Linked DNA regions of Zea mays. The protein of the gene in region 1 binds, or shares a complex with, the protein of each later gene. Links are inferred from orthologs where the notes say so. Each region holds a gene or a part of one and is shown in the gene's direction. Other genes may lie near its edges.

The links.
Region 2: Conserved oligomeric Golgi complex subunit 7 (region 1) and Conserved oligomeric Golgi complex subunit 5 share a complex: the UniProt entries of both Arabidopsis thaliana proteins name them as parts of the conserved oligomeric Golgi complex. The link is inferred for Zea mays from reciprocal best matches to the Arabidopsis thaliana genes EYE and AT1G67930.

The regions. Positions count from the first base shown.
Region 1 is NC_050104.1:115,465,107-115,474,509, reverse strand, and holds Conserved oligomeric Golgi complex subunit 7, read left to right. Parts: upstream 1-176; coding exon 177-464; intron 465-1,288; coding exon 1,289-1,378; intron 1,379-1,487; coding exon 1,488-1,607; intron 1,608-1,683; coding exon 1,684-1,785; intron 1,786-2,009; coding exon 2,010-2,260; intron 2,261-2,482; coding exon 2,483-2,628; intron 2,629-2,783; coding exon 2,784-2,982; intron 2,983-3,204; coding exon 3,205-3,859; intron 3,860-4,930; coding exon 4,931-5,263; intron 5,264-5,443; coding exon 5,444-5,722; 3' UTR 5,723-5,920; downstream 5,921-9,403. Other genes in the region: phosphatidylinositol synthase, read left to right, coding at 8,617-8,653, 9,060-9,144, 9,226-9,275. UniProt on the Arabidopsis thaliana protein: Required for normal Golgi function. Necessary for embryo development and pigmentation, especially for the expansion of cells and organs, and for the formation of the organized shoot apical meristem (SAM).
Region 2 is NC_050101.1:153,636,075-153,646,209, reverse strand, and holds the start of Conserved oligomeric Golgi complex subunit 5, read left to right. Parts: upstream 1-5,348; 5' UTR 5,349-5,375; coding exon 5,376-6,443; intron 6,444-7,060; coding exon 7,061-7,534; intron 7,535-10,135. UniProt on the Arabidopsis thaliana protein: Required for normal Golgi function.

The DNA.
Region 1 (9,403 bases):
TTTTTATAGTTCACGTTGTTGGAGATGCTCTAATAAGGTTTATAATAGCAAACAAAAAAAAAAAAAAAACTCTTCGTCCCTACTCCCCTGCAGAGTGCAGTGTGCAGACACCCGAGGAGCCGAGACAGAGAAGCAGTGAAGGGAACCCGCGCGCTTTCTCCCGACGTGCACCGGAAATGGTGGTCGTGGACGCGTCGGAGTTCGGGGCGGAGGGCTTCGACCCGAAGCGGTGGATCAACGCGGCGCTGGACGCGCGGCACCCGTCGGAGCCTCTCGATCGCTTCCTCGCCGACGCCGAGGAGCGCCTGCGTTCCGCGGCCGACGACGCCGCGGCCGCGCTCGAGAGGGATAGCGGCGACGCCCTCCGCCGCGTCCCGTTGGCATGCCGCGACGCGCTGCGCCTCCGCGACGACGCCGTCGCCCTACGCTCCCACCTCGCCTCCGTCCTCCAGTCCCTCTCCCTGGTACGCGCCTCCGTCCCTGTGGCTTTCTCCTTATTGGATCTGGGACTCACTAACAATCCCGTGGGTTTATTACGCGAAACCGAGATGGATTGCTTCGAGCTCTGGAATAGCTTACCGCGCGTAGTCTCTTCGCACGTATATTTCAGATGGATCTGGATCTCACATCCATGTCTAGTCAAGTCTGATTTCATCTGCCTGGGTTTCACCTTGGATACGACATGAGTACAATTGTAGCGTACTAGCGTACAAGTAGTACGAAATTCACGAGTGAGTCATTTAGTTTGATTAGTTTATGTTCAGATTTCGTTGCCCAAATCTGCTACCAGTTGAAAGTTTATCTCGAAATGTTTTGGGCCTCCGGGTTTTGTGAAACTAAGCTACACTCTGACATAGTTGCATTAGATGTCATGCGGACTAATTTGGATATTGTCATTTTATGTACTTACAAACTTGAGCGTATTGTAAGAGTTAAAATTAGGAGCAATTCAGACATTCAGATTCGAAGGCAATCTGCATAGAACTTTTCTTTGCTTGCCAAAAAAAAGGCAAAGAGCCATGGAGTTCTAGTAATGCTTACATACTGAGGTGATAAAAATTCCAGTACAACAATATGCAAGGAAAATAAAATCTTGGCCTTCAGTTGTGTCATTGTGTGACCGTGAGAGAACCATTCTTGTACACCAAACTAATCTCTCGGGGGTTTGCAGTCTATCCCTCTGCCCAAGCTCACTCTATCTTGATATACTGTATTCTGTTCCAGCTACATTTTTGCTAAGGCGACAACTAACAAAGTATTCATGGTTATATAATATATTTCCATCCAGGCTGAGGGCTCATCCGCAGAATCAATAGCTGCACTAGCGCGTATTGACACTGTGAAACAGCGCATGGAAGCCGCATACACAACATTGCAGGTAAGGTCTATCTGGAGTTGTAGACCATGGCACACCACTGGAGTATAGTTTTACTAATGTGGTAAATTCTTGTTTATTATTTTTAAGAGTTCATTTGATGGAATGGCAGGATGCTGCTGGGTTAGCTCAGTTGAGCCAGAGTGTTGAGGATGTGTTTTCTAGTGGCAATCTTCCAAAAGCTGCAGAAACCCTGGCAACTATGAGACATTGCTTGTCAGCAGTTGGAGAGGTGTCATACTCTCTGTAAAAAGCCATGAGCTGCATACACAGCCTGTTTGTTTTGCTTATAACAAGGTTTCTTTCAGGTTGCCGAGTTTGCAAACGTCAGAAAACAACTTGAAGTATTGGAAGAAAGGCTAGATGAAATGGTGCAGCCTCGATTAGTAGATGCACTTTCTAATCGCAAGGTATAATCCCCACAAAACAATACTCTCTCCGTTCCGAATTTTAAGTCGTTTTGGCTTTTCTAGATACATAATTTCTGCTATGCACCTAAAATACATTATGTCTTGATACGTAGTAAAAGCTATATATCTAGAAATAACAACACGACTTTCAACTCAAAGCGGAGGTAGTGGTTTGTTACATTGAGGATCTCTATTTTACTCGGAACCTGTTTCTTTTTTGAAAGGTTGATGCCGTGCAAGATCTTCGTGGTATACTGATCCGTATCAATAGGTTCAAGTCACTGGAAGTGCAATACACTAAGATCCATGTTAAGCCTCTAAAGAAACTCTGGGATGATTTTGAGCTAAAGCAAAGATCCAGCAAGGTAGACATGGAGAAACTCAGTGGTGAAAGCATTAGTGGCCTCTCATTCTCTAGTTGGCTGCCTAATTTCTATGATGAGACACTGCTTTACCTTGAACAAGAGTGGAAGTGGTATGTTCATGGTGATCTTCACCTTTGATCTGAGTTAAATATACCTAGGACTAGTTCTAAAGTGGTTAAGCGGAAGTCAGTTTTTAGAAGCAGCCCTTAAGCAATATCTGGCATAATGAATAAAACACATTGTTTAGACCAAAAAATATAACACTTATTTTTCCCTATCAGAACTGCAATTTAGCCTGTGGTTGCTCTAAATGGAAATGGTGATGCTCACAGGTGCTTGACTGCTTTCCCTGACGAATACAAATCACTTGTACCAAAAGTACTTACTGAGACCATGAGTGAGTTGAATTCAAGCTTTGTCTCTCGTATAAATATAGCAACCGGGGATGTTATTCCTGAAACCAGATCTATTGCCAAAGGTAATGCATAGATTGCTCATTAATTTTATTTTGACCTACATCTATCCCATGGTTTTATCACATATATTTTTGTGCTTTAACAAGCTATTAGTTTTGTTTGCTTAATCTTGCTTGTTTTCCTAACAGAGAATTGTGTTTTTGTTCTCTGTATCCAGGTATATTGGATGTTCTATCAGGTGACTTACCAAAAAGCACCAAATTGCAGAATAAGCATCTTCAAGCGCTAATTGAACTGCACAATATGACTGGCACTTTTGCTAGGAACATTCAGTACTTATTTTCAGAATCAGATCTTGCAGTTGTGCTGAATACTTTGAAAGCTATTTATTCTCCATATGAAACCTTTAAAGCAAGGTAAATACTTAGATCAATTGGTCGAAAGCTATTTATTCCCCCATATGAAACCTTTAAAGGAAGGTAAATACTTAAATCAATTGGTCAATGCACACACAACCACCAAAGGAAAAAATTGTTTTGCATCTCGTTACCAGCTGCATTTATGAGATTTCTTTGATGCAATTGATGTATGGCAATGATCATTTGGTGCTGCGTGTCTTTTTATTGGGTGTCATGTAGGTATGGGCAGATGGAGCGTGCTATACTCTCTGCTGAGATGACAAGTATCGACATCCGTGGGGCCGTCCCTCGTGGTGTTGGTGCACAGGGTATAGAGCTGAGCGAAACTGTCCGCAGAATGGAGGAATCCATCCCAGAAATGATAGTACTCCTTGAGGCAGCTGTGGAGAGATGCATTAGTCTGACTGGTGGTTCAGAAGCAGATGAACTGGTACTGGCTCTTGATGACGTCATGCTGCAGTACATATCTAATCTCCAAGAAACATTGAAGTCCCTGAGGATAATCTGTGGACTGGATAGTGATGCCTTGAAAAAAGATGCAGGTTTAGAGAAAAAGGAAGTACAACGATTGGTGGATGTTTCTGAAGAGGAAGAATGGTCTATTGTCCAAGGTGCTTTGCAAATTCTTACAGTTGCTGATTGCCTAACTAGCAGAACCTCAGTCTTTGAAGCTTCTTTAAGAGCTACACTTGCCAGGATTGGAACAAACTTTTCTGTTTCTGGATTTGGCTCAAGCCTGGATAAATCACCTGCAGCAACTGCTGATGAGAATGCAGACTTGTCTTTTGCTGGGAGGGCTGCGCTGGACATTGCAGCTATTCGCTTAAGTGATCTGCCAGATAAGTCTAAGAAGTTCTTAACTGTGCTAGAACAGGTAGGTTTTGTTGTTTTAAATTTTCAAATTTTCTGTTACAACTTACAACACAGGAGTCATCACTTATGTCTCTGGGTTGTAACTGTATATCTGAATATTGATTGAAACTTGCATAGTGATGCATGATCTGCAGTCAATGTCAATCATCACCTGATAGAACTTGATGAATGAATCTTTCTTATTTTTCTATAGAACCAAGTCCTGAACTATCTGATCTTTGATCCACGGTCCAGATTGCATCATTTCAAGTTGGGTTGACTCACCTTGTGTCTGTATTTTTGCAAAACACATATTAGGCCCTGTTTGGATGCAGAGTACCCCCTCCATCCCAAAACAAATGTATTTTTAGATTTAGTAGGAGATACCAAAGATAGTAGTAAAATTACATATATACTCTATAAAGGTTGCTCCACCATGTAATAATTAAACCTTAGGAAGAAATAAAGTTAAGAAAGCTACTGAAGTTAGCTAGTCTATAGCTGGATGTCCACTTATTTTAGGACAAATTTTGAATTGTAGAAGTGCACTTATTTTGGGTTGGAGTATTTTAAAGTATTGGAGCAATACCATGGTTTCAAAAGCTGTTGGGTGTTTGGATACAGTAAACTTAGTAGTTTCTAAAACCATGATTTTGTTAAAACTGTAGTATTTTTGAAGTTTTAATAACTCCAATCATGACTAACTTTTTCTAAATCATGGTTTTTTTTTATCTCTTTGGCTTGCACCACAGTTTTATGATACTATATTTTCCGAAAACTACAATACATAAACATGCCCTTGGTTGTTTTCGATGAAAATTATGCAGTCCAGACAAATGACTCATTTGGTTCCTTTTCCATATTCCCTTGTTTTAGTCAGTGTAGAAACATAAGGACTACATTTCGTGGTACATCTTGAACATCTAGTTTCACATGAAGCTGAGATCTAATCATTTTCATTTGCCTCTTCTGCTCCACATCACTAGTTAATCAGATCTGTTCATAGAACCTACTCATAACCTGCAAATTTCCCACCCAACTAAATTTAGTTGCCCTCATGTTGCTAACATTTTTATTTATTTAATTTTTACAGTCAAAAGATCCAAGATTCCATGCTCTTCCTCTCACATCACAAAGAGTTGCAGCCTTCTCAGACACAGTAAATGAACTCGTCTATGATGTGCTCATATCTAAGGTTCGGCAGCGTCTCAGTGAGGTCGCACGCCTTCCAATCTGGTCATCCGTGGAGGAACAGGGTGGTCTTCCTCTTCCAAGCTTCAGTGCCTACCCGCAAGCATACGTGACCAGCGTTGGGGAGTATCTCCTCACTTTACCACAGCAGCTGGAGCCACTCGCGGAAGGTATCTCAGGCAATGAGGCTGGCAACGATGAGGCCCAGTTCTTTGCCACCGAGTGGATTTTTAAGGTAATAAACGCGAAATCTTTCTACACGTATGCAAAAGGTCACTTGCACATCATGTAGGAAGATACGATTGAATAGAAGGCTATTTCGAATCTTCCCATGTTTTAATCATAATTCATAGCACCACTTCTGTTGATGTTGGAACATTCAGTCTTGATTATCATCTCTGCTTCCATGTACCAGGTCGCCGAAGGTGCCACTGCTTTGTTCATGGAGCAGCTCCGAGGAATCCACTACATCACCGACCGAGGTTCACAGCAGCTCGCTGCTGACATTGAGTACCTAAACAATGTCCTCTCTGCGCTCTCGATGCCAATCCCTCCATTCCTGTCTACCTTCCACGCCTGCGTCTCCACCCCGAGGGACCAGGTCCGTGATCTGATCAAATCTGATGGTGCAAGCCAGCTCGACCTCCCTACTACCCATCTGGTCTGCAAGATCCGGCGGATCACATTAGATTAGTGAAATCGTCCTAACTTCTCCCCCTTTCCATGAGGTTTACCTCTGTAAAAGCATGCATTACCGCACGCTTCTGCGATCGTATGTTTGGCATGCGGGCTTGTAGCTTGTTGCTTCACCTTTTTTTTCTTGCCTTGTAACCGTACTGCTGGCACATAGTGAGAATAATCCTATATAGAATAATTCATTACTTGGAGCCTATATTGATTGCACGATTTTCTATTACAAACCTAGGGGAAAGAATGAGGATCAGCTTTATAAGCTCGTCAGAATTGGATGGATCATAGGGTGCATTTGGCAGGTTTCTCGTAAAAACATTTTGCATCCAGATTAGATTTTGCATTGGGTAGTTCGCTGGAAGTTTGAAGCTAGAACTAAATGAGAAACTATATTACGTTTGTTTCTAGTGTACAAATGATAATCGGTTCCAAATAATCATCCTCGAAACGTTTGTCTCCTTTGCGGTGTTTGACAGTAATTTTGTTGAAAAACTAAAATGTTTCTCGCTGCTAGCACCAAGCGTCAAAATCTTTTCAGATTCTACCAAATATTTTACTAATAGATTCCACTAGATATTTTTATTTAACGTTATAATATGTAGTAAAAGATTGAGGCATGTAATATTGGTTTAGGGTTTTTACATTACTTTTAGTGCACTAGTTTAAATAATATTTTGTCATAACAAAATCGAGGACATATCCTGTGCAATCACTCATTTTGGTGCAAGCGTGCAATCAAACTATCCAGAGCATCCAGTCTAGATGCAACGGTTTTATATGGAAGTGGTTAAATGTAAAATAGACACTAGGTTTCAGGTGGAAGGGGTTAAATGTAAAATAACAGTTATCATTATATCTAGATCGGATGTACCAGATCGCTTGATTGCATGCTTGCACCAGGATAAGTGATTGCATAGGATATTTTCCCAACAAAATCCTAATGACTTATACTTAGAGATGGCCAAATGGCCGCCCGACCCGTTTTGGGCCCGGCTCGCTAGGCACGGTTAGAAAACCGGGCCAGACTGTCTAAGCCCGTGGGCTCGTTTCCCTGTCCGAGCACGGCCCGCTATGAGCCTAAACGGGTCGGACCGACCCGGTAAGCACGAAAAAAGCAGACCAAAAACAGGTCGGTAAGTACGATTTAGTGTAAAAAGGCGGGCTTGACGGGTTTAAAGGTAAACGGGTCGTGCCGAGCTAGCCCACCGTGCTTAGTTTCCTGTCGGGGTCCGGCCCGCTTATTTGTGCCGGGCTGGTCCGGGCCCGTATAAATGCGGGCTGGACCGGGCTCGTACCAGACCAAAAAAACATGCTTCAGACCGAGCTTTCGTGTTTTCTGTACATCTATACTTATACCCTCTCAATTTTAAATTATAAAGCATTTTTAATTTTTAGGGTCAAATTATGTTGATATAGTGTACATCTAAATGTATAGAAAAATGGTGAATCTAAAAGGGTCAAATTATCTTATAGTTTGGAAGGGAGTAATGTTAACATCAATTATATTTTTTTGGTGTTTGCCCTTAAATACTACATTCAAAAGGAAAATGTGGTAGCTTTAAAACAAAATGTTCCAACTTAAGATTTTTTCTTAAAATAAAACAATGTTCTACTTCTTGAAGGAACACATTATAGTTTCACTAGCAAAATGATGCAGCTCATGACCAAAACATTCCATGCTAAAAGGAAATTTATACCACCATTATGAGTAAACTTTTTCCAAATTCTCGAGAAAAACATTCTACAGGCACAAGAAAAATGTTACATATTTAATAGAAAAGTCTTATGACATATTTATGTGAAATGAAAAGATTCTAAGTTAGTTAGAGCACAACTTTTAAAAGACTGACAAAAAAAAATTACCACTAGGGCAATGGGAAAAAAAGCTTCAATTGTGGATAAAAAAGAAATGATTTTTATGAGGCAGGACTTATAATAATAAAATTAGGTACAAGCGGAATAAAAACCGAAAAAAAACGTGTCATGGCAATAGAATGAAAAAAGAACGAGAGATACAAAAAAGAGAAGTCGTGCGTTCACACCCTGTTTGCCGTTTTCTCCCTTTACACGCTCGATTCCCCCCGCCGTTTCCACGGGGGCCAGGTGCCTGCATTACTGGGTCCGGGCCTAGCGTCAGCGCAACCGAACACGCCGGCGACCGCTGCCGCCCTTCTCCCAGCTGCCCAGGTCTTCGTCGGGCCCTTTGCCTGCGGCGTCGGCGACGAGCGCCTGCCACACCAGGTATGCCTGCCCCTTCTCTTCCCTTCTGTGCAAAATGTGCACCTGAACCCTAATTTAACCTATTTGGCTATCTGTATTCGGATCAGATCTGATAACCACTAGGTATGTTTATGTATTGTGCCTACTAATAGCTTGTTTTTTTTGGCAAAAACTATCGGGTCTACGTGTTGTATTGGCTCCGCCGAACTCCATGATGCAAAAACTAGGCATATTACAGGCTTAAATATGATATCGGATGCTTCTAGATTTATATACTAGCAAAGAAGCAAATGCTTTAATCATGCCTAGTTCAAGCTTTATTTGCCACAATTCAGATATTTTGCCACCGTAGTCATCTGTACTGCTATGGGCAAAAAATAAATGTTTGCTTTCATCTCCTCTTTTGGAAAACCAGCGATTATGTTGATATTTCATTGGGACATATAAATACGAGTTTTTTTAGTTTGTAAAAGGTACAAGGGTTATACTAACACTGTACTTGATTTTCTTGTAAAAACTTTGTTTTTTTGGATCAATATATAAACGATATACTCATCTGACAGGAATCCCGTTAAGTTTATTTATGCTCACCAATTTAAGGGCAGAACTTACGGACCTCAAGCTCTTGGTTACTCCTGATCTTCTCTAGGCGACTAGGCACAATTGCCCTCTGGCAAAATGCCATCAGTTTATCTTTACATCCCTAACATTATCGGTACGCCTCTGGATGGTTATCTATTGACATTCTATTTTGCTGTTCCAAAACCTATTATATAATATTTATATTTTTTTTGTTACTTATATCTCAAAGTCTGGATAATTGTACTAATGAGTAATGATTCGTGCAACTGGAAACATTGCCTACTTTCTGTCATTGATTTTGTACTTCATTCTAGTTATGTTGCCAGTTTGCTATGCAGTGCAGAAGCAACATCCACATACTGCGTTTTAGTTTTGTTGCCACTTTGCTGCCCAAGTATAGCTACATAAATGGAACCATAAATTTAGTAGAGGACACATAGTTTAACCAACGAGACAATATGTTTATCTACTGCTTTTAGCATGAATGAAAAACAGAAGCCTATGTGACTAAAATTCCAAGAATTGTCATTATCACACAGGGTATTTTAGGATCATCATAAATTTCATTGCATTTGCGGTTTGCTATTCCAACAAGGCTCTCTTTGCTATCCTGTACTTCATCAGGTGAGCGTCTTATATCTGCAAACTTCTTGAGGTTGCCAATGATTTATGTATATTGTTCTAACATCTTTACAAACATGCTAGCTTTGTCCTTGATGGTGTGGATGGTTGGTTTGCAAGGAAGTTCAATCAAGGTAATAATTCACATTCTCCCTGTTTTCAAGTCATGTAGCCTGTCATTATGTGAAGAAGGTTAATACCCATCTTTGCTATAATGAAATTTCCTTGCATTGTGTGCTGGAGACCAACTTTCAAATGGTTA
Region 2 (10,135 bases), on another chromosome or scaffold:
GTCTCATGGCAAGTGCTTAGCTCACTAGATAGTTTTCCACATTTCTCAATTTCTAGAGCATAAGCATTTTTAACCTTAACATGCTTTTTATTTTCCTTGATTAGGAAGTCCTCTTGGGTGTCCAAGAGATCATCCTTTTCATGGATGGCACTAATCAATTCATTAAGTTTTTCTTTTTGTTGCATGTTGAGGTTGGCAAAAAGAGTGCGCAAATTATCTTCCTCATCACTAGCATTTTCATCACTAGAGGATTCATATTTAGTGGAGGATTTAGATTTAACCTTCTTTTTGCCGTCCTTTGCCATGAGGCACTTGTGGCCGACGTTGGGGAAGAGAAGACCCTTGGTGACGGCGATGTTGGCGGCGTCCTCGTCGTCGGAGGAGTCGCTAGAGCTTTCGTCGGAGTCCCACTCCCGACAAACATGAGCATCGCCGCCCTTCTTCTTGTAGTACCTCTTCTTCTCCTTTCTTCTCCCCTTCTTGTCGTCGCCCCTGTCACTATCACTTGATAATGGACATTTAGCTATAAAGTGACCGGGCTTACCACACTTATAGCAAACCTTCTTGGAGCGGGATTTGTAGTCTTTCCCCCTCCTTTGTTTGAGGATTTGGCGGAAGCTCTTGATGACGAGCGCCATTTCCTCATTGTCGAGCTTGGAGGCGTCTATTGGTTGTCGACTTGGTGTAGACTCCTCCTTCTTTTCCTCCGTCGCCTTGAATGCGACGGGTTGAGCCTCGGATGTGGAGGGATCATCAAGCTCGTTGATTTTCCTCGAGCCTTCGATCATGCACTCAAAACTTACAAAATTCCCGATAACTTCCTCGGGGGTCATTTTGGTATATCTAGGATTACCACGAATTAATTGAACTTGAGTGGGGTTAAGGAAAATGAGAGATCTTAGAATAACCTTAACCATTTCGTGGTCGTCCCACTTCTTGCTCCCGAGGTTGCGCACTTGGTTCACCAAGGTCTTGAGCCGGTTGTACATGTTTTGTGGCTCCTCCCCTTTGCGAAGCCGGAACCGACCGAGCTCCCCCTCGATCGTTTCCCGCTTGGTGATCTTTGTGAGCTCATCTCCCTCGTGCGCGGTTTTGAGCACATCCCAAACCTCCTTGGCACTTTTCAACCCTTGAACTTTGTTATACTCCTCTCTACTTAAAGAGGCGAGGAGTATTGTTGTTGCTTGAGAGTTGAAGTGCTCGATTTGGGCCACCTCATCCTCATCATAATCCTTATCCCCTATGGATGGTACCTGTGCACCAAACTCAACGACATCCCATATACTTTTGTGGAGTGAGGTTAGATGAAATCGCATTAAATCACTCCACCTAGCATAATCTTCACCATCAAAAGTTGGTGGTTTGCCTAATGGTACGGAAAGTAAAGGTGCATGTTTAGAAATGCGAGGATAGTGTAGGGGAATCTTACTAAACTTCTTACGCTCTTGACGTTTAGAAGTTACGGAGGGCGCATCGGAGCCGGAGGTCGATGTTGATGAAGTGTCGGTCTCGTAGTAGACCACTTTCCTCATCCTCTTTTGCTTGTCCCCACTCCGATGCGGCTTGTGAGAAGAGGATTTTTCCTTCTTCTCTTTGTTGTGAGAAGAAGATTTCTTCTCCTTCCCTTTGTTGGAGGAGCTCTTCTTCTTCTCCCTCCTCTTGGTGCGGGACTCTTCCGATGAAGTGCTCCCATGGCTTGTAGTGGGCTTTTCGCCGGTCTCCATCTCCTTCTTGGCGTGATCTCCCGACATCACTTCGAGCGGTTAGGCTCTAATGAAGCACCGGGCTCTGATACCAATTGATAGTCGCCTAGAGGGGGGGGGGTGAATAGGGCGAAACTGAAATTTACAAAAGTAAACACAACTACAAGCCGGGTTAGCGTTAGAAATATAAATGAGTCCGCGAGAGAGGGCGCAAAACAAATCGCAAGCAAATGAAGAGTGTGACACGCGGATTTGTTTTACCGAGGTTCGGTTCTCGCAAACCTACTCCCCGTTGAGGAGGCCACAAAGGCCGGGTCTCTTTCAACCCTTCCCTCTCTCAAACGGTCCCTCGGACCGAGTGAGCTTTCTCTTCTCAATTACTTGGAACACAAAGTTCCCACAAGGACCACCACAAGTTTGGTGTCTCTTGCCTCAATTGCAAGTGAGTTTGATTGCAACGAAAGAATCAAGAAAGAAGAAAGCAATCCAAGCGCAAGAGCTCGAAAGAACACAAGCAAATCACTCTCTCTAGTCACTATGGCGTTGTGTGGAATTTGGAGAGGATTTGATCTCTTTGGTGTGTCTAGAATTGAATGCTAGAGCTCTTGTAGTAGTTGGGAAGTGGAAAACTTGGATGCAATGAATGGTGGGGTGGTTGGGGTATTTATAGCCCCAACCACCAACTTGACCGTTGGTGGAGGCTGTCTGTTCGATGGCGCACCGGACAGTCCGGTGCACACCGGACATGTCCGGTGCCCCCGCCACGTCATCACTGCCGTTGGATTCTGACCGTTGGAGCTTCTGACTTCTGGGCCCACCTGGATGTCCGGTGCACACCGGACAACTCCTGTTCATTGTCCGGTGCGCCAGTATGGGCGCGCCTGCCTTCTGCGCGCGCAGAGCGCGCATTAAATGCGCCGAAGGTAGCCGTTGGCGCCGAAATAGCCGTTGCTCCGCTGGTACACCGGACAGTCCGGTGCACACCGGACAGTCCGGTGAATTATAGCGGAGCGGCTGAAGTGAAATCCCGAGGCTGGCGAGTTCCTGAGGCCGCGCTTCCTTGGAGCACCGGACACTGTCCGGTGTACACCGGACAGTCCGGTGATTTATAGCGCGCCGGCCTGAGAAATTCCCGAAGGTGGCGAGTTCGAGTTGGAGTCCTCTGGTGCACCGGACACAGTCCGGTGGCGCACCGGACACTGTCCGGTGTACACCGGACAGTCCGGTGCCTCCAGACCAGAGGTGCCTTCGGTTGCCTCTTTGCTCCTTTGTTGAATCCAAAACTTAATCTTTTTATTGGCTGAGTGTGAACCTTTTACACCTGTATAATCTATACACTTGGGCAAACTAGTTAGTCCAATTAATTGTGTTGGGCAGTTCAACCGCCAAAATTAATTAGGGACTAGGTGTAAGCCTAATTCCCTTTCAGTTTTCAACACTTTCTTGATTAATTTGATTGTTCTGATGTATCAACCTTTTTGGCTAGATGCAATGACAGTGGAAAAAACAATAAGGATATATTCAAAACAATAAAATGGCAATGTTAGAAAGATCGATTGTATGATACAACCGAATCAATTGTTCCCCAATGAAGTCACAAAAAATATGTTGATGCTTAATTAAGTCACCACACTTTTATAGTGTGTTTGGTTTGTGGAGTCACTCTATGCTTAATGAGGTGATGCATCATAAGTTCATCCATCAATTTTGGTGGAATCAACTCACTCCTCATGTTTATACTAATTATTAGCTTATGAGGAATGGGGTGACGATGGATCAATCCATTCTATTCCACAAACCAAATAAAAAAGTGATGAATGAGAAGAAGATGGATAACTTCATTCCTCAAACCAAACACACTCTTAAAGAGCTAGGTCGCTCGATGATAGGCCTAGCCAACTATTAGGTCGACTGATGCATAAGTTATGTTTTCACACTCAAACCTAATGCCTCTAGCAATGATCATGATACACAGGACACATCTATGGGGGAGCCTCATTGGGAGCGCAATACACAATACATTGTTGATGTGGTCTCTTGATATAACAACCCGCATGACCAGGAGGGACCTCGTCGAGCCATGTGACGACTATGGACTGCCCTAGCTAGCCTAACCGGTCTAGGTCCTTGTCCTCATCAAACCATCGGTCATACGTTAGCGATAAAGAATAAGGAGAATAAGTATATGAGAAAATAAAGGGTAAAAATAGTAGATATGTTTTTTTATGATTGGTTGTTGGATCGCTCGATCTTCCATGACCCTCTAATATGTGTGTGTAGAGAGAGAGGTGGCATTATCCTAGCTAGGGATGGCAACGGGGATTTCCCCGTCGGGGAATGACTCCCCATCCTCGTCCCCGTGGGGAGGAAAATTCCCCGTCCCCGTCCCCGCGCGAACGCTCACGGGAAAGCTTTTTCTTCCATCTCCGTCCCCGTCGGGGAATTTATCCCCGTGGGGAACCTCACGGTGAATCTGTCCCCCACTAGAAGTACAATATAAGATAAATTTAAATTAATTTTATCAAATTAATACAAATTTAACAAACAAGATTAAAAATTACAAGAGACATCTAGTTTAGAGTTTAGTTTGTTGTTTTATAACATGTCATACATTGAGTTTTTACTATAATTCTAACAAATAAATTGACTAACTTGAATAAAAAAGTTTCGTGGGGCGGGTACACGGGGAACCCGTCCCCGTCCCCTCGAACCCGACGGAGATTAAATTTCTCCCATCTAGATCCCCGCGGGGACTAAATTAGTCACATACCCGTCCCCTAATAGGAGAATTTCCCGCGGGAAATTGAGGATCGGGTCCCCATTGCCATCTCTAATCCTAGCAGGGGATCTTTCCGAGACATTTTTTTATGAATCTTGAACAATTCAGATCAAAATCCAAAAGGTTATTTTTAAATATAGCTTTTTAGGTTTGTCATAATTATCGTAAGAACTTTCTACATTTGTTGGAACCTTCAACATGATGATGATCTTGGACACTAAGCAAGTTTTATGTTTCTCGAAAATTCTGATATTAAAACTATAAACCACATAGCATCTTTTTGAAAACTAATTTAATCTGAACTCTAAATTAGACTTGCCTATATATCATTTTTATCATCTTGCCAAGAGAAATGTAATGATGAAATTCATTCATATTTTGTCAACTTCACAAAATGGACAACCTTAGTTGTCAACAGTGGTTAACTTTGACAAGTAAAAAATATCACAAATATAGGCATATATAATCTCTATTGTATAAAGCACTAGTTTTCAAAAATTATGCACAAGTGGGGTTCAAACCTTGGTCATTGTCTCCACGTTCATACTCATTTAACCAGGAGAATACATATTTTTGTGTTTTATATTCTATATTCAAACATAATATAAAATAAAGTTTAACTATGCGATATATATAAATCATAGCGTGTGTCTAACTAGTAATATATTTGACATAAATAGAATGATTAACTGAATAATAATAATAATAACAATAATTAAACAGTTCTTGTTAAAAATAGTTTTCGAAATTAATCGTGATCGTCCCAAGCACAAAACCAACAAATCGGAGCAACGACCTCCATGCCAACTGTATTCGCACTCTCGGCTAGATCTCGCTTCCCTCCACCTCCAGAGTCCAGATCCACCCCGAACTCTCCGAAGGCCGCCCCCGCCATGGCAGCGCCGCCCCCCACCACTCCCCGTCTCCTCTCGCCGACGTCCAAGGACCTTCTCACAGCCGCCTCCTTCACCTCGCCGCCCTCCCCCACCTCCGACGATCCCGCCTCCCCGCTCGACGCCTTCGCCTCCGATCCCGTCCTCTCCGCCTTCCTGTCGCCGTCCTTCTCCCCTTCTGTCTTCTCCTCCGCCGCGCTTTCCTCAGGACTCGCTGCCTCCCGCGCCGAGCAGCTGCAGGATGCCATCCGCCTCCTCCGCCGCCATCTCCGCGTCGAGGTGCTGCGCCGCCACCCCCTCCTCCTCTCCCACCTCCTTTCTCTCCGCTCCGCCTCCGCGTCTCTCTCCTCGCTCCCATCCCACCTCAACCTTCTCTCCTCTCACCTCTCTCTCCTCTCCTCCCACCTCTCGGCCCCGCGCTCCCATCTCGCTCACTCCTCGGCTTCCCTTTCCAGCCTCTTGGCCACAGCCGACCTCCTCCTCCACTCCCACCGCTTAGTGCGCCTCTCCTCCCGACTCCTCGCCTCCTCCCCTGCGCCCGATCTTGCGCGCCAGGCTGAGCTCTACCGCGAGATCCGCCTCCTCTATGAGGAGAAGAACCTCTCCGGGATTAATGCCGTTGACGAGGAGATGCGCAAGGTGGATGCCGCTGCGTCAAAGCTGCGCTCAGAGGCCAGCGCTGTGATCGATGGCGGTGTCTACGAGTCCAACCAGAACGACGTGTGGTGCGGGCTGCAGGTGTACTACAATCTCGGGGAACTGAAGACAGCAGTGGAGGGGCTTGTGGGAAAGCACAAGGCAGCGGGTGCAAAGAGTGTGTCTGTCGCACTGGACATGAAGGCGATATCAATGACTGCTGGCGTTGGAGGTGGTCCTGGAGGGGTGCAGAGGAGTGGTACGCCGCAGATTGGTGGGAGTAAGAAGGCTGCAGAGGCACTATGGGATAGGATGAGGCAGTGCATGGATGAGCTCCACCGAGCAGTGACTGCTGCTTGGCAGTTGCAGACTGTGCTCACTAAGAAGCGTGTGCCATTCACACAAATGCTTTTTCTTGAGGAGGTTTGGCAGGTAAGTGTTTGATGCATGGACTTACTAGATCAGATGAAAATGAATTGAAGTTGCAAATTGGAACTTAACAGTTAACATAGTGGCACAATTGTGAGTATAACACGAAGTCATTGATCACGTGATGTTGGTTTGTGAATTGTTAAGATATAATGGTGATGGAAGAGATCCAAAATGACAATGTAGGCAGTACAGAATGAGCATGTTGATGTATCAGAACACAAATAGATCTTCTCTTGTAAACACATCACATATTTTAGGCTATATGTTTGGTTAAATGAAGTAATGAACTTGAAATTTGAAGGGTACAACTTCAGCTGTTCATACCTTTCCCCCCCACCAATGTCACTATTGTCCGGCAGTTGATACTGGAACTATGCTAGTGATCCCTTGTATCAAGGTGCTTAGTATAGAATGAAATGTGCACTTGGTACCTAGTGGATACCAACAGTCTTTTCAGGCTTCCTTAGTTGTAATTTCAATGAAATGTGATTTTGTACATACAGAATTGCAGGCAATAAGACTATTGTCAATTTCTTTTTTTGCTCCTGTATATAAACAGGACTGGCGTCCCTAAAAGCTTCTGTTGTTTTAACAAAAATAAAATAAATCTTGTGCAGGAGGGTGAGCCTCTTATAACAGAGAGAGTTTGGGATGCAATTGTCAAGGCCTTTGCAAGTCAGATGAAGACTACCTTTACGGCTTCAAGCTTTGTGAAAGAAATATTTACTCTTGGGTATCCAAGACTGTTTTCGATGGTTGAAAACCTCCTTGAGAGGATTTCAAGAGATACTGATGTAAAGGGCACCCTTCCAGCTCTCACTCCTGAAGGAAAAGATCATATGATTTCAGCCATTGAGATGTTCCAGACAGCCTTTTTGGCTCTGTGTCATAGTCGGCTATCTGATTATGTCAACAGCATATTTCCAATGTCAAACCGTGGAACTATACCTTCAAAGGATCAGATCTCAAGATTGGTTTCTCGCATACAAGAAGAAATCGAAGTAGTGAGAACTCATGGGCATTTGCTTGTTCTTGTTCTACGTGAAATTGGAAAGACCTTGCTTCTTTTAGCACAGAGAGCAGAATATCAGGTATCCATTTGCTACCTTTGATGATCTAGCCAAGTTATTTGTATACGTTTTCTGTGTGGATTTTGTATGCTTTCTTCGTTAGCTATGAGTAAATGTAGTCCTTGTGGTAGGTTTAACTAGTAATTTCTGATGTAACATTATGACTTGAAATTTGTGTATACCATATTCCATTACTGTTTTTCTCTTTCTGTCAGACTAGCTTCACTGATTGTAACCAAATATTAGTTGAAGCCTGACCAATGTTTTTTTGGTGATTCTAGTTGTATCTGTTAGCTCCATATATTAAGTGGGACGATTCTTCATAATTCTTTGAGTAATTGATTTGCATTTCACGCCTAAGTCCTAATCTTAGGCATACACAGTTTTACTAGGCAATGTTTAGTTCCTTTTACATTGCAGTCTGCCTAACTTCTTAGCCACCTTGTGTCATATATTCTGATTTCTTGCCTAATTTTGCCTAACCTTAGGTGTCTATTTTGTTGCCACAAAAGTGTGGCAAGACTAAGGTTATCTGTACAAGAACAAGCAAATGCTCATGAGTTTTCAATAGGTCAAGATTGTGTGGCAACATTAGTTGGCAACCAAACATAATCTGCTGCATTAGAATCTGTCTAACCATGTGATTTTAGTTACGTTGAGTCGCTTGCAGTGGCAGTCCTGAGATTTTAGGGACCCGGGACAAGATTTAAAATAGAGGCCCTTCTAATTATTTTATATATATATATATAAATGTAACCAATATAAACCCTTAAGACACATCTAAAAATATAACATGTTTAGATATAATCGAGCTGTGGACATATTGTGACCGCCAACTCTTCGACACTTCGCTGTTGAGCTATTGTGTCATAAAATGATAGTCTGACCACTGAATATATACTATGAACTTGGGGACCTAGGGCGGCCGCCCTGCTGCCCCAACCTCAGGGCCGGCACTGGTCACTTGTTTCCTTTGTTTTCTTCTGAAGACCTTTGCTAGCACCATGCTTACTCTCCAACACCAAAAATACGCTGTGCAAATTTGGCTCAGTTCAGTGATTTTTGGACTTCACTGAGTGACACCTGTTATCCAATATGGTGTACCTAAGCTTGTGTTTTATTCTGATTTGCGTGTGATAGCAAGATAATTGCTGTCTATATTGATTGATTGATAGTACAGGCGCACATATATATAGAGGGATAGAGAGGTGGGAGATCTCAGGTTTATAGAAACAGTACCCTGAGATCTCCTGGAATGGAAGGAAACAATCACTGCCCCTAAATGGGAGGATTGAATCCATATCTTCCTATATGCGGCTGTAGCTAGAAAGGCAAGGATGCCTGCACATGTATGGTAGGGTATCCTGCGCCTATATGGTAGGAGACACAAGTCTGATATATCAGCTAACACGCCCCCGCAGTCTGATCGTCGGTACCGCAGACGTTCAGGCTGGATCTGAACTCCGTGAAGACTGTAGAGGGAAGCCCCTTGTGAAGATGTCTGCATACTGGGAGGTAGTAGGCACATGGAGAACGCGGACATCGCCGAGAGCCACCCGATCCCGAACAAAGTGCAAATCAATCTCAATGTGCTTGGTGCGCTGATGCTGGACCGGGTTTGAAGACATATAGACTGCACTGATGTTGTCACAATAGACCAACGTGGCACGACGTAACGGGTGACGAAGCTCGGCCAGAAGCTGTGTGCAGCAGGGAGGCACAGGGGGTATAGGGGCCCGGAGCTATTGCACCTGACGATCACGTTCCGAGATAGTAGATCCTTCACAGAGCAACCAGAGGGATCAAATTCAATGGAACAGTGATTATCGGTAGTAAACTGGCGAACGGAAATGAGGTTCTTAATAAGTTTAGGTGACACAAGAACATTGTTGAGATGTAAAGAATTATGTAAAGTAGTGGAGCCAGTGGAAATGACAGGAAGAAGGGAGCCGTCACCGACAATAATGGAAGAAGGTGCAGTAAGGGAGGGAGTTGAAGTGTTGGATAGAGTACCGGCGTTGGAGGTCATGTGGGAGGTAGCACCTGTGTCGAAGTACCAGTCAGTCTGCTGGGGCGGAGTCAGGGACACAGTGCTGAAAGCGGATGCAAGGGACTGAGCGTCCCAAGATGGAGTAGTTGGCGGAGCCAGCATGCCGTGGGTAGCGCCTCCCTGCAAGGGGCCGGTCTGCAGAGTGTGTTGCAGGGGGGTGCCTCCCTGTCCTTGAAGAGCACCATGAACATATTGCTGGGTCTGGTGGGCCAGCAGCGCCTGGTGAGGGGCGATGGAGACAGGAGCAGCATGAAAAACCTGCTGTTGCTGGGCCGCCGGAGGCAGCAGGGCCTGGTGCTGCGCCAGGAGACCTTGCTGCTGCTGTGGGGTTGGCGCCCGGGGGCCGGGCCACATCTGGATGGCCCCAGTCCAAGGGTTTTGGAGGGAGGGCCACAAGCCGGGACCAGTGCCAGGGAATGGAAGAATACCCTGGCGGCCTTGGCCACCCCTCTTGCTGCGACGGTTGGGGTGGCCGGAGCGAGGAGCCGAAGGCGCCTTGTTGGAAGCAGTGGGAGCCTTGTTGGAGGCCATCGAAGTCCCGCCTTGTGGAGGTTTGGTGGAGGTAAGCAGGG